Linked DNA regions of Oryctolagus cuniculus. The protein of the gene in region 3 interacts with the protein of the main gene of each other region in a biochemical or structural test. Links are inferred from orthologs where the notes say so. Each region holds a gene or a part of one and is shown on either strand. Other genes may lie near its edges.

The links.
Region 1: the proteins of STUB1 (region 3) and HSP90AA1 form a complex in vitro, tested with the Homo sapiens proteins (14 studies listed by BioGRID and IntAct, with this or other methods). The link is inferred for Oryctolagus cuniculus from reciprocal best matches to the Homo sapiens genes STUB1 and HSP90AA1.
Region 2: the proteins of STUB1 (region 3) and JOSD2 form a complex in vitro, tested with the Homo sapiens proteins (2 studies listed by BioGRID, with this or other methods). The link is inferred for Oryctolagus cuniculus from reciprocal best matches to the Homo sapiens genes STUB1 and JOSD2.

What each region holds. Positions count from the first base shown.
Region 1 is NC_091451.1:45,356,662-45,360,400, forward strand, and holds the start of HSP90AA1 (heat shock protein HSP 90-alpha), read right to left. Parts: upstream 2,617-3,739; 5' UTR 2,372-2,616; intron 1,908-2,371; coding exon 1,746-1,907; intron 1,656-1,745; coding exon 1,289-1,655; intron 1,098-1,288; coding exon 649-1,097; intron 561-648; coding exon 395-560; intron 264-394; coding exon 73-263; intron 1-72. UniProt on the Homo sapiens protein: Molecular chaperone that promotes the maturation, structural maintenance and proper regulation of specific target proteins involved for instance in cell cycle control and signal transduction.
Region 2 is NC_091449.1:7,410,334-7,414,072, forward strand, and holds the start of JOSD2 (josephin-2), read left to right. Parts: upstream 1-1,281; 5' UTR 1,282-1,651; intron 1,652-1,864; 5' UTR 1,865-2,081; coding exon 2,082-2,227; intron 2,228-3,139; coding exon 3,140-3,265; intron 3,266-3,541; coding exon 3,542-3,736; intron 3,737-3,739. Other genes in the region: ASPDH (aspartate dehydrogenase domain-containing protein), read left to right, coding at 1-150, 231-454, 528-682, 983-1,026. UniProt on the Homo sapiens protein: Cleaves 'Lys-63'-linked poly-ubiquitin chains, and with lesser efficiency 'Lys-48'-linked poly-ubiquitin chains (in vitro). May act as a deubiquitinating enzyme.
Region 3 is NC_091450.1:34,026,359-34,029,565, forward strand, and holds STUB1 (E3 ubiquitin-protein ligase CHIP), read right to left. Parts: upstream 2,168-3,207; coding exon 2,012-2,167; intron 1,845-2,011; coding exon 1,646-1,844; intron 1,571-1,645; coding exon 1,405-1,570; exon of another isoform or gene 1,321-1,404; coding exon 1,233-1,320; exon of another isoform or gene 1,111-1,232; coding exon 868-1,110; exon of another isoform or gene 798-867; coding exon 672-797; 3' UTR 601-671; downstream 1-600. Other genes in the region: JMJD8 (jmjC domain-containing protein 8), read left to right, coding at 1-93, 165-232, 306-440, 517-597; RHBDL1 (rhomboid-related protein 1), read right to left, coding at 2,507-3,161. UniProt on the Homo sapiens protein: E3 ubiquitin-protein ligase which targets misfolded chaperone substrates towards proteasomal degradation.

The DNA.
Region 1 (3,739 bases), on a different chromosome or scaffold from region 3:
ACGGCTTCGGTTCACCACTCCCCGCGGGGCAGTGTGGACCCAGCTGGCAGCCGTCGGTGTGTCTGCACCCACCTTTATATTTTTGGAGAACTGCTCATAAAACTTCTTGTAATTCTCTTTGTCTTCTGCCAGTTCCGTGAAGAGCTCCAGACACTTTTTGACCAAGTTCTTCCTGATAACTTTCAGGATCTTGCTCTGCTGCAGCATCTCCCGGGAGATGTTCAGCGGGAGGTCCTCCGAGTCCACCACCCCTCTGATGAAATCTGAGGTAGCGGAGACCGCGCCCTCAGTCTAAGCACACACACACACACACCCCGCCCCCCCCCCCCCCAGCAGACGGACGAGACATGGTGGCATCACCAGCGACACTGGGCTCACTCCCGCTCCTACTCACTCAGGTACTCAGGGATCAGCTCCTCACAGTTGTCCATGATGAAGACTCTGCGAACGTACAACTTGATGTTGTTCTTCTTCTTCCGGTTTTCAAACAGGTCAAACGGGGCTCGTCTCGGGACGAAGAGCAGCGCTCTGAACTCCAGCTGCCCCTCAACCGAGAAGTGCTGCAACGACACACAGGCCCGGTGCCAACCACCACCACCGCGACGGCGCCGGGGCCGGGCTGCCACCCTCCGGGCGCGGGGCGCTCACCTTCACGGCCAGGTGGTCCTCCCAGTCGTTGGTCAGGCTCTTGTAGAACTCCCCGTACTCCTCGTTGGTGATGTCGTCGGGGTTCCTGGTCCAGATGGGCTTCGTCTTGTTGAGCTCCTCCTGGTCGATGTACTTCTCCTTGATCTTCTTCTTCTTCTTCTTGTCGCCGTCCTTCTTCTCCTCCTCCTCCTCGTCCGAGCCCACGTCCTCGATCTCCGGCTTGTCGTCGGGCTGCTTGTCCTCCTCCTCCTTGTCCTTGTCCTCCTTCTCCTCGGCCTCGTCGTCACTCACCTCCTTGTCGCGCTCCTTCTCCACGAACAGCGTGATGGGGTAGCCGATGAACTGCGAGTGCTTCTTCACGATCTCCTTGATGCGCCGCTCCTCCAGGTACTCCGTCTGGTCCTCCTTCAGGTGCAGCACCACCTTCGTGCCGCGCCCCATGGGCTCACCTGCGGGGAAGCCAGCGCGCCGGGTCGCACGGGGCGGCGGAACCCCGCGAGGCCAGCACGGCCCGGGCCAACGAGGCGGCGGAACCCCGCGAGGCCAGGCCGGCCCGGGCGAACGCGGCGGCGGAACCCCGCGAGGCCGGCCCCGCCAGCCCCGGCCCCCTCGCCAGCACGCCCAGCGCCCCTCCCCCTACCTGCGTCGGTCCGCACAGTGAACGAGCCCCCCGCCGAGGACTCCCAGGCGTACTGCTCGTCGTCGTTGTGCTTGGTGATCACCGTCACCTTCTCAGCCACCAGGTACGCCGAGTAGAAGCCGACCCCGAACTGGCCAATCATGGAGATGTCGGCGCCAGCCTGCAGCGCCTCCATGAAGGCCTTGGTGCCGGACTTGGCGATGGTGCCCAGGTTGTTGATCAGGTCGGCCTTGGTCATGCCGATGCCCGTGTCCACGATGGTCAGGGTTCGGTCTTGCTTGTTGGGAATCAGGTTGATGTGCAGCTCCTTGCCCGAGTCCAGCTTGCTGGGGTCGGTTAGGCTTTCATAGCGGATCTTGTCCAGAGCCTGGAAGACCCCAAGTCCTCAGCACCCAGCCGGCGCCCTCCCACCCCCGCCCCCCGAGGCCAGGGCCCCTTCCTCCCCGCCGCCACTTACATCCGACGAGTTTGAGATCAGCTCCCGCAGGAAGATCTCTTTGTTCGAGTAGAAAGTGTTGATGATGAGGGACATCAACTGGGCGATTTCCGCCTGGAAGGCGAACGTCTCCACCTCCTCCTCCTCCATCGGCTGGTCTTGGGTCTGGGTCTCCTCGGGCATCTGCCAAGGGCACGAGGCCCATCAGGCGCCGCACGGCCCCCGCCGCCCGCCCCGAGGCCGGCGCGGGCGCCTCACAAAGGGATGACCTCATTTCGAGCTGCGGCAGGCGCGGGAGCGTGCGCGCTGCGGGGCGGACGCCGCGGCCGGGCCCCGCTCGCCCCGCGCCGCCGCCGGCCGCCCTCCGCGGGCCGCGGCCCCGCCATGGCGGCCGGCACGGCACGGCCGGGGGCTGGGCGCCACCCCCCGCAGCCCCGCACCGGCGCCCCCGCCCCGCCCCCGCCCCGCGGCCTCTCCAGAACATTCGCGGCGCCCCCGGCCCGCCGGAGGCGGCTCCACAGGCCCCGGCCGCGGAGGCCGAACCGCGGCCGCTCGGGCACCGCGGCCGAGGGGGCCCCCGGCCGCCCCCGCTCCCCGCCGCCGCCCCCGCACACCCCCGGGCCTGAGACCCCCCGCAGCCCCCTCACCTTGGCTGAAGAACCGCACGGCCTCCGCGACGCAGCAGCACCGGGACGCTGGAGCAACTGGCGCGCCGCCCCCGCGCCGCCCTTATATAGAGGCGGGCCCGCCCAGCGCGCGGCGCCTTTTCGAGAAGCCTCCCGAACCTTCCGGAAGAACCCTCCCCAACCGCCACCGCGGCCACGCGCCTGCGCCTGCGCCCTGGCTGTGGCCCGCCCCTGCCCCGGGCTCGCGCACGACCCCGCGCAGGGAACGGCGGGCGCCCCCCGCCCGCCCGCGCCGCCGCGCGCCCTCGCGCCGGCCCCTGTGCGCCTGCGCGGGCTCGGCGCCTTCCGGGCTCCTAAGCCCGCCAAGCGCGGGCGCGAGCGCGGGCGCGTGCGCATGCGTCCTCGCGGCGCCGGGCGAGCCGGGGCGGGGGAGGGGGCGTCGAGCCCTGAGGTCCCTGCCCTTGTAGTGTGAAATGTGCAAAAAATGGCCCGTGGGTTATGACAGCTCGGGGCCGCTCCCAACGAGTCGCCCGCGCAAGGTGCAGCGGCCTGGGGTGCAGGCCTTGCCAGCTTTCGGTCGCCGGGCCGGGTCGTCCGCTGTGTCTGGGGACTGGGTTTTGGAGTCGTGCTGCGGGCCTGCGGCGGCGGTTACGGGTCGAGGGCTGCGTTCCGGCGCCTGGGCTTCCGCAGAGGTGCGGCCCGAGGCCGGGCGTGAGGAGGGCGAGGGCCGCGGAAGCCCCCCGGGCCGGCTCCCCGATGCCACGGCCTCCCCGTGCCCAGGTGCTGAACCACGCTCGCCCGGCCGCCGCCGCCGCCGGGGTTCCGGGAAACCCGTAGCCTTTCGCTTCCGGAGAAGCAGCGGCGTGCAGCGCCGGAGCCCCGGGGGCCGCCCCAGGCCAGGTCTAAGTGGGACTGGGGCGCTCGGAGCCCGGGGCGGGGGCGGCGGCGGCCGGGCCCTCCCCACGTGGGAGACCGCGTGGAGTCCCTGGCTCACGCTGCAGCCTGGCCATCTGGGGAGTGAACTTCCGGGTGGAAGACCTCTCTCACCCTACCTTTCAAATAAATGTTAAAAAAGAAAAAAAATAAGAGCCACATCCAGGCTGTAGGGTCCTCACTGTCAGCGTCGGGGTCTGCCCTGGAAGGACGCCGCGGCTCAGCGCGCCGGCCCTCGGAGCCTTTGTGTCCAGCTCTCCCTTTGTTGGCCCACTTCCTCCCTCGACGGGCCTGGCCCTCTGGAACAGCTGGACGCTCCCAACCTAAAGGCACCTGACCGCTCCGCTCCCTCGTGGTCTCTAGGAAAACCCGCTCTTCCAGGAGAAGGTTGGAGAGCGCTTGGGAGCGTGAGCGCAGCCCACAGCGTGCAGAGCGTCGCAAAGGTGGGAACAGACC
Region 2 (3,739 bases), on a different chromosome or scaffold from region 3:
GTGGGGTCACCCTCGGCGCTGGCTGACCCGACCACCGAGCGGCAGCTCCGGGAGGCCTCGCAGCGCTGGAACCACGCTGTGTTTGTGGCTCGAGGGGCCCTGTGGGGCGCTGAGGACATCATGAGGTTGGACGCGGCCGGAGGCCTCCAGGTGAGGGACCCGCTGGGCTCCCCGGGGCCGGAGGGGGCCTGCAGGACCCCAGCCCCTCTGACCTCGGCCCCCGCTCCCAGAGCCTCCGCGTCACTATGGCCACGCACCCGGATGGCTTCCGGCTCGAGGGACCCCTGGCTGCCGCAGCCCACAGCACTGGGCCTCGCACGGTCCTCTACGAAGGCCCCGTCCGTGGACTCTGCCCCTTTGCCCCGCGTAACTCCAACACCATGGCGGCCGCTGCGCTGGCTGCCCCCAGCCTGGGTTTCGACGGCGTGATCGGGGTGCTGGTGGCCGATCTCAGGTGAGCGGAGCTGAGCGGGGAGGGGTCGCGCGGGCTGCAGGCCCCCACACTGACCCCCCCCCGCCTCCTGCAGCCTCGCGGACATGCACGTCGTGGACGTGGAGCTGCGCGGACCCCCGGGGCCCACGGGCCGGCGCTTTGCCGTGCACACCCACAGAGAGAACCCTGCAGAGCCGGGCGCCGTCACGGGCTCGGCCACCGTCGCGGCTTTCTGGCGCAGCCTCCTGGGTGCGGCCGGCCCCTGGAGCGGGGTCCCGAGATCCGGGGGCCGGGGGTCTGGGGGCGGGGTCCGGGGGGCGGGACCGGGGTCTGGGGGCGGGGCCCGGGGATCCAGGGGGCGGGGTCCGGGGGTCCGGGGGCAGGGGCCCGGGGCCAGGGTCTGGGGGGCGGAGGGCCGGGGGACCGGAGGCCGGGGGGCCTGGGTCCGCCTGGCCCGACGTCCATTACTTCCGAGCCCCCCAGCCTTCTCGCTCCGCGACTGCCCCGTGCCCCCGCGGGGGTCCGGCTCAGCTCCTGTCTCCCCCGCAGGCTGCCGCCAGCTGCCCCCCGGGCCCGGAATCCACCTCTGCTGAGAAGCCTCCGCCCACCCGGCCGGCCCCTCGGTGGGCGGACCCTCCCCGCCCCCGCCCTCCCCGGCCGGCCCCTCGGCGGGCGGACCCTCCCCGCCTCCGCCCCACCCCCGGCCAGGCCCCGGCCCCCCTTTCCCGGGATGTCCCTCCAGTCTCAGTAAAGACCCGAGGCTCCTCCCCCACCATCCCGGCCTTCTTTCCCTTCCGTGACGTCACGCCGCGTCCGCACTCCGCGTGTGACGCCACTGCAATGGGCGGGCACAGGCCCGGAAGCTATCGCGAGAACCTACCCGCTGCGTTTCCCAGGAGCTTCCGAGCGGCCGTGGGCGCGGTCGCAGCCAGGGGGCGGGCGCGGGGCGCATTTCCGGGATTTGCACCCCCTCCTCCCCCGACCCACGGAAGTTATAGTCGCGCGCCCTGGAGGGGCGACGGCGGACTTCCGGGTTAAGCGGCCCTGCCCGCTGGGGCCGCCGGGAGTTGTAGTCCACTTTGCTGGTGTCGCTGGGAGCTGTAGTCCGTCCCGCCTGCCCCGTCAGCGCGGAACTGCTCGTGCCGCGCTCGGAGCCCAGCGCCGCCGTCCGAGGGGATGCGGGAGCCCCCGGCTCCGGGGAGCAGAGAGGCCGACGGGGTGAGGGGCGTCGCCAGGCGCAGGGGACCTGGGCACCGCGCTGCTTTTCCTGTTGTCCGGGGAGGGGGCTGGTTGCCAGGGGAAGGCGGGCTCTGGTGTTGCTAGGCGACCGGTAGAGACCCCTCCCCCGTCACCCAGAGGCAGGGGAGGAGACTTCCGGTTTCGCTGGGTAATCAGAGACTTTGTTGTCGGGGGGGGGTCCTCCGTTGCTAGGTAACCAGCGGGGGTCCCGTTGCCCAGGGCCGCGGAGGGCTGCGTCTCCGTCGCCAGCCCCGGATGCCAGGGAGCCTTGTCCCTGGAGAGCCAGGGCGCGGGGGTCCCGTGTCGTCCCCGGCTGCCCAGGCCCTGCCCTCCATGGAGGAAGCCGCCCCCAGGCCCTGGGCCCCTGAGCGGCCTCTGCGCCCCCTCCGCAGGAGGAGCCCAGGACGGCATGTCCCAGGCCCCGGGAGCTCGGCCGCGCCCGCCCTCCGTGTACCACGAGCGGCAGCGCCTGGAGCTGTGCGCCGTGCACGCCCTCAACAACGTCCTGCAGCAGCGGCTCTTCAGCCAGGAGGCTGCCGACGACATCTGTAAGAGGTGACCGCCACCGCCCGGCCCGCCGCCTCCTACCTGGGCCTCCGCCGGTGCAGCCTCCACACAACCCCGGAGCCAGCCTGCTGCCCGTCCCCCTGGCGCCCCGGGCCCTGGGCCTCCCGCACTGTGCTGCCCCCGGGCCTTTGCACGGGCAGTTAGTTCTCTCTGCCGGGCGTGGCTGCCCTCACCGGCCCAGACTTCAGACTTCACGCCTGCATCGCGTCTGCACTGCCTGCTGTCCCTCCCAGCCACCGGCTCAGGCCTGGCCCTGGTCCACCGGCCTCCCCCTGACCCCACCCGTGCACCCCAGAAGTGGCCCTGCCTGTCTCTCCCCACTGCCCGCCTTGCGCCGCTGACCCACAGCCCCCGAGGGATCTGTGCGGGAGGTGGGGGCGGGAGGTGGGCTGTCCCCTCCCACCTGCCCCCCAGGGCCTGCTGGGGACAAAGCTGGATGAGGCTGGGCCCAGAGACATGGGGTGGGGGTGCAGGGTGGCCCTGGGCCTGGAGCATAGGCTGGGAGGTGGAGCCAGCAGGGAGCAGACCACGCAGGGCTGTGGGCGCTGGGCGAGCAGGAGGGACGGGGTCGATGGGGGGGCGGGGCGGGGGCAGGGTCCTCCCAGAGACAAGTGGGGCCAGTGGCGGCCATCCAGGCGGTCCCAGGCACTGAAGGGCCGGGCCTGGGGGTCAGCGGGCATCTCCAGGGAGGCGACGCCTTGGGTGGGCTTGCAGGACAGAGGAGGGGGATGGTGATGGCGAGAGGGGCCGAGGGGCTCTGTGCAGGGCAGGGTCGGGGTTCAGAGGTGCAGGTCTTGGGGGGCATTGAAGACAAGGATGAGTCGAGGACGAGGGGCCCTTCCTGCGGTGTGGGAAGAGAGGGGGTCCCCGCCTCCACCCCGACTCTCGCCCGCCCCCCAGGCTGGCCCCAGACTCCCGGCTGAACCCACACCGCAGCTTCCTGGGCACCGGCAGCTATGACGTCAACGTCATCATGGCCGCCCTGCAGGGCCTGGGCCTGGCCGCCGTGTGGTGGGACAGGAGGAGGTAGGGCCCCGGGCGCCGCGTGGCCACGGGGTGAGCTAGAGGGCCCACTCACGGGCAGTCTGGGCAGGAGCAGGTGGGCTGGCGGCAGTGGGGAGGACACGGGTGGGTGGGTGGGTGAGGGAGGAGCGGGGGGGGCAGGGGGGGTGGAGGGAGGTGCGGATGGGCGGCGGCTGTGCTGGAGACTGGACAGGCCTGGATCTGGTGGGCGGGCGAGGGAGGGGGTGGGGGCGGGCGGCAGGGCCGGCGACCGAGTCCCCTCGTCCCCTCCGCCCGCAGGCCGCTGTCCCAGCTGGCCCTGCCTCAGGTGCTGGGGCTGATCCTGAACCTGCCCTCCCCCGTCTCGCTGGGGCTGCTGTCCCTGCCGCTGCGCCGGCGGCACTGGGTGGCCCTGCGCCAGGTGGACGGCGTCTACTACAACCTGGACTCCAAGCTGCGGGCGCCCGAGGCCCTGGGGGACGAGGACGGCGTCAGGTG
Region 3 (3,207 bases):
ACTTCACCGAGTGGGCGTCTCTGTTCCGGCACTACGCCCCGCCGCCCTACGGCCTGCTGGGCACGGCGCCCGCGCACAGCTTCGGCGTGGCAGGTGCTCCCGGGAGCCGGGGACGGGGGCAGGGCAGGGGGGTGTGGTTTTTTGCTCACCCGCCAAACCCACAGGCGCGGGCACCGGGGTGCCCTTCCACTGGCACGGGCCCGGGTATTCGGAGGTCATCTACGGCCGCAAGGTCAGTGCCGTGGGCAGGGGCTGGGCGCGCGGACCCGCGGACCCGGGGTGAGCGTGCGCTTCCCCTCCCCCAGCGCTGGTTCCTGTACCCGCCCGAGAAGACGCCGCAGTTCCACCCCAACGAGACCACGCTGGCCTGGCTCCGGGACACGTACCCAGGCCTGGCCCCGGCCGCGCGGCCGCTCGAGTGCACCATCTCCGCGGGCGAGGTCCGGGCCGGGGCCGGGGCCGGGGCCGGGGCGGGGGAGGCGAGGCCCCCCGCTGACGCCCGCGCCCCTCCCGCAGGTGCTGTACTTCCCGGCCCGCTGGTGGCACGCCACGCTCAACCTGGACACGTGCGTGTTCATCTCCACCTTCCTGGGCTAGCGCTCGTGCTCACGGACTTTATTGCAGGACAGGGGCGGCGCCGGGGCGGGGGCGGGGGCGGGCCTTGCAGGGGCTCAGTAGTCCTCCACCCAGCCGTTCTCCGAGATGAACGCGTCGATGACCTCCTTCATGGCCAGGTTGGGGATGAGCTGCTCCTGGGTCAGGGGGCTCCGGGTCACGGGGTCAAAGTGGCCCACGCGCTGCGGGGACAGCGGGGTCAGCGGCGCGGCGGGGCGGGGCGCCCGGCCGGGCCGCCGCGGCCGCACCCACCTGCAGGTGCTCCTCGATGTCCTTGCGGTCGTAGGTGATGCCGCTGGGGGTGATGCAGGGCTCCCGCATCAGCTCGAAGCTGATCTTGCCGCACAGATAGTCGGGGACGTCGCGCCTCTGCACACAGGGCGCGCTCAGTGGGCGGGCGGCCGGCACCTGCCCACGGGCCCCGCCGACAAGGCTCACCTTTCTCTTCTCGTCCACTTGCGAGAAGAGCTCGTCCATGTCCGCCAAGTACTTGTCCTGGAAGAAGCGAGGGGGCGCTGCCCCGGGGCCGCACACGGCCCTCCCCCGGCCCAGCGCCGCCTGCCCCCGCCGCCCCCGCCGCCCCCGGGGCCCGCGCCCGCCGGCCGGGCCGCCCTCACGTGCTTGGCCTCAATGCAGGCCTGCTGGGCGCGGACGTGGCCGTCGTCCTCGTCCCCCTCGTGGCTCCGCTGGCACTCCTCCAGCTCCCTGCGGGCGAGCGGCCGCGCGTCAGGACCCGCCCCGCCCCGCCCCGCCCCGCCCCGCTGTCAATAAACGCGCGGAGGGGCCCACCTCTCGCGCTCGGCCGCGATGAGCCTGGCGAGGTAGGCGTGCAGCTCGCTCTCCTGGTGGATGCGCCGCTCCTCCAGGCTGTTCCAGCGCTTCTTCTTGGCGATGCGCAGCGCGCTGGGGATGTCGTCGCCGAAGTTGAGCCGCTGCTCCTTGGCCAGGCTGTAGGCTGCGGGCGCGGGGCGCGCGGTCAGCCCGGCCGGCCGCCCGCAGCCGCGCCGCGCGCCCCGCGCCGCGCGCCCACCTCGCTGCAGGTTGGCGATGGCCTCGTCGTAGCTCTCCAGCTCCAGCTGGCACTGGCCCAGGAAGAAGTGCGCCTTCACCGACTGGCCGTCCAGCTCCAGCGCGCGCCGGCAGTCGGCCAGCGCCTGCTCGTGCTGCTGCATCTTCAGGTAGCACAGGGCGCGGTTGGTGTAGTACACCGCCACCAGCGGGTTGCGCGTCTGGGGAGAGCGGGCGGCCGCGCTGTGGGCGTGCGCGCGGGCCGCACCCGCACCGCACCCGCACCCGGGCGGCCGCCGCCGCCGGGGCCGAGTCAAACGCCCCAAGCCGGGGGGCCCCGAAGGGCCGCGCCCCGGCGCCAGGCCCGCCCCCGGCGCGGCGCACTCACGATGGCGCGGCCGTAGCAGGCCGCCGCCTCCGGGTACTTGCGGCCCACGAAGAGCCGGTTGCCCTGCTCCTTGAGCTCCTGCGCGCTCGGGCTCTTCTCGGGGCTGCCGCCGCCGCCCAGCCGCGCGCCGCCCTCCTTCTCCTCCTTGCCCTTCATGGCGCCGCGCGGCACGGCCTGGGCTCCGCTCGCGGGCTCCGCGCCCGGCCGCCCGCAGCCCGCGCCCCGCTCGGCCCGGCCCGGATCGCCGCCACCGGAACTTCCGGCCGCGGGGGGCGGGGTCGCGCGTGCGCGCTGCGGCGGGGTGGGGGCGGGGCCCGCCGCGCGGAGCCTCCGAAGGACCGCCTCCCTGCGGCCGGGCTCCGCCCCTCCGCGCACGCCCCGCCCCCGGCATGGGGGCAGCGGGAGGCCGAGGCGTGCAGCGCGTGCGGGCCCCCGGGGGCGGGCCCCGCCGGCGGAGACGACCCAGGACGCCCTGACCCGCAGCTGAGTACGGCCTCAGCTGCCGCAGCCGCCCGGGCACCCTGTGCGGCCCGTGAGGCAGCGTCCGCACAGGTGGGAGCGACCCCGCCGGCGCCGCCCCCTCGGCATGGGCGGTGGGACACCGTGCCTGACCGGCCCCAGCCTGGCCCCCTCCCCCACGGCGTGCAGGCCGAACTCGTGGGCCAGGACACCCACCGCCTGTCCCCTGGGGCCGCAGCCCAGTCCCTTCGTAGATGGGAGGGCCCCGCACGGTCCGCGGGAAGCGGGGGGCAGAGACGCCTCCAGACCCCGGACAGCCACCTGGTGCCGTGTAAAATATTTATTCACTCTGCAAAAGGCGCGGACCGCGGACCCGGGGGCGGGGCGGGGGCAGGGCCTCCCCTGTGCCCAGGAGGCGGTCAGGGCGGCGGGGGGACGTGGGCGCCCAGCAGGTCGTAGGCAAAGACGTTCCAGAAGACGGCGAAGAGCAGGAAGGTGCCGTAGGCCAGCAGGACCACCCACCAGCCGCACTGGTCCCGCAGGCGCTCCTCGTAGCTGCGTAGGATGGTGAGGCCCATGCTCACGCCCACCACGGCGCCCGCCAGGTGCGCCATGAAGCTGGGCTGCGGGCCCGAGGCGGGCAGCGGCGGCGAGAAGCGCAGCCACACGGCGCGGCCCACCTCCGAGCTCACTGCGGAGGGAGGCGGCAGGTGGGCGGCGCCCCGCCCGCGGGCCCG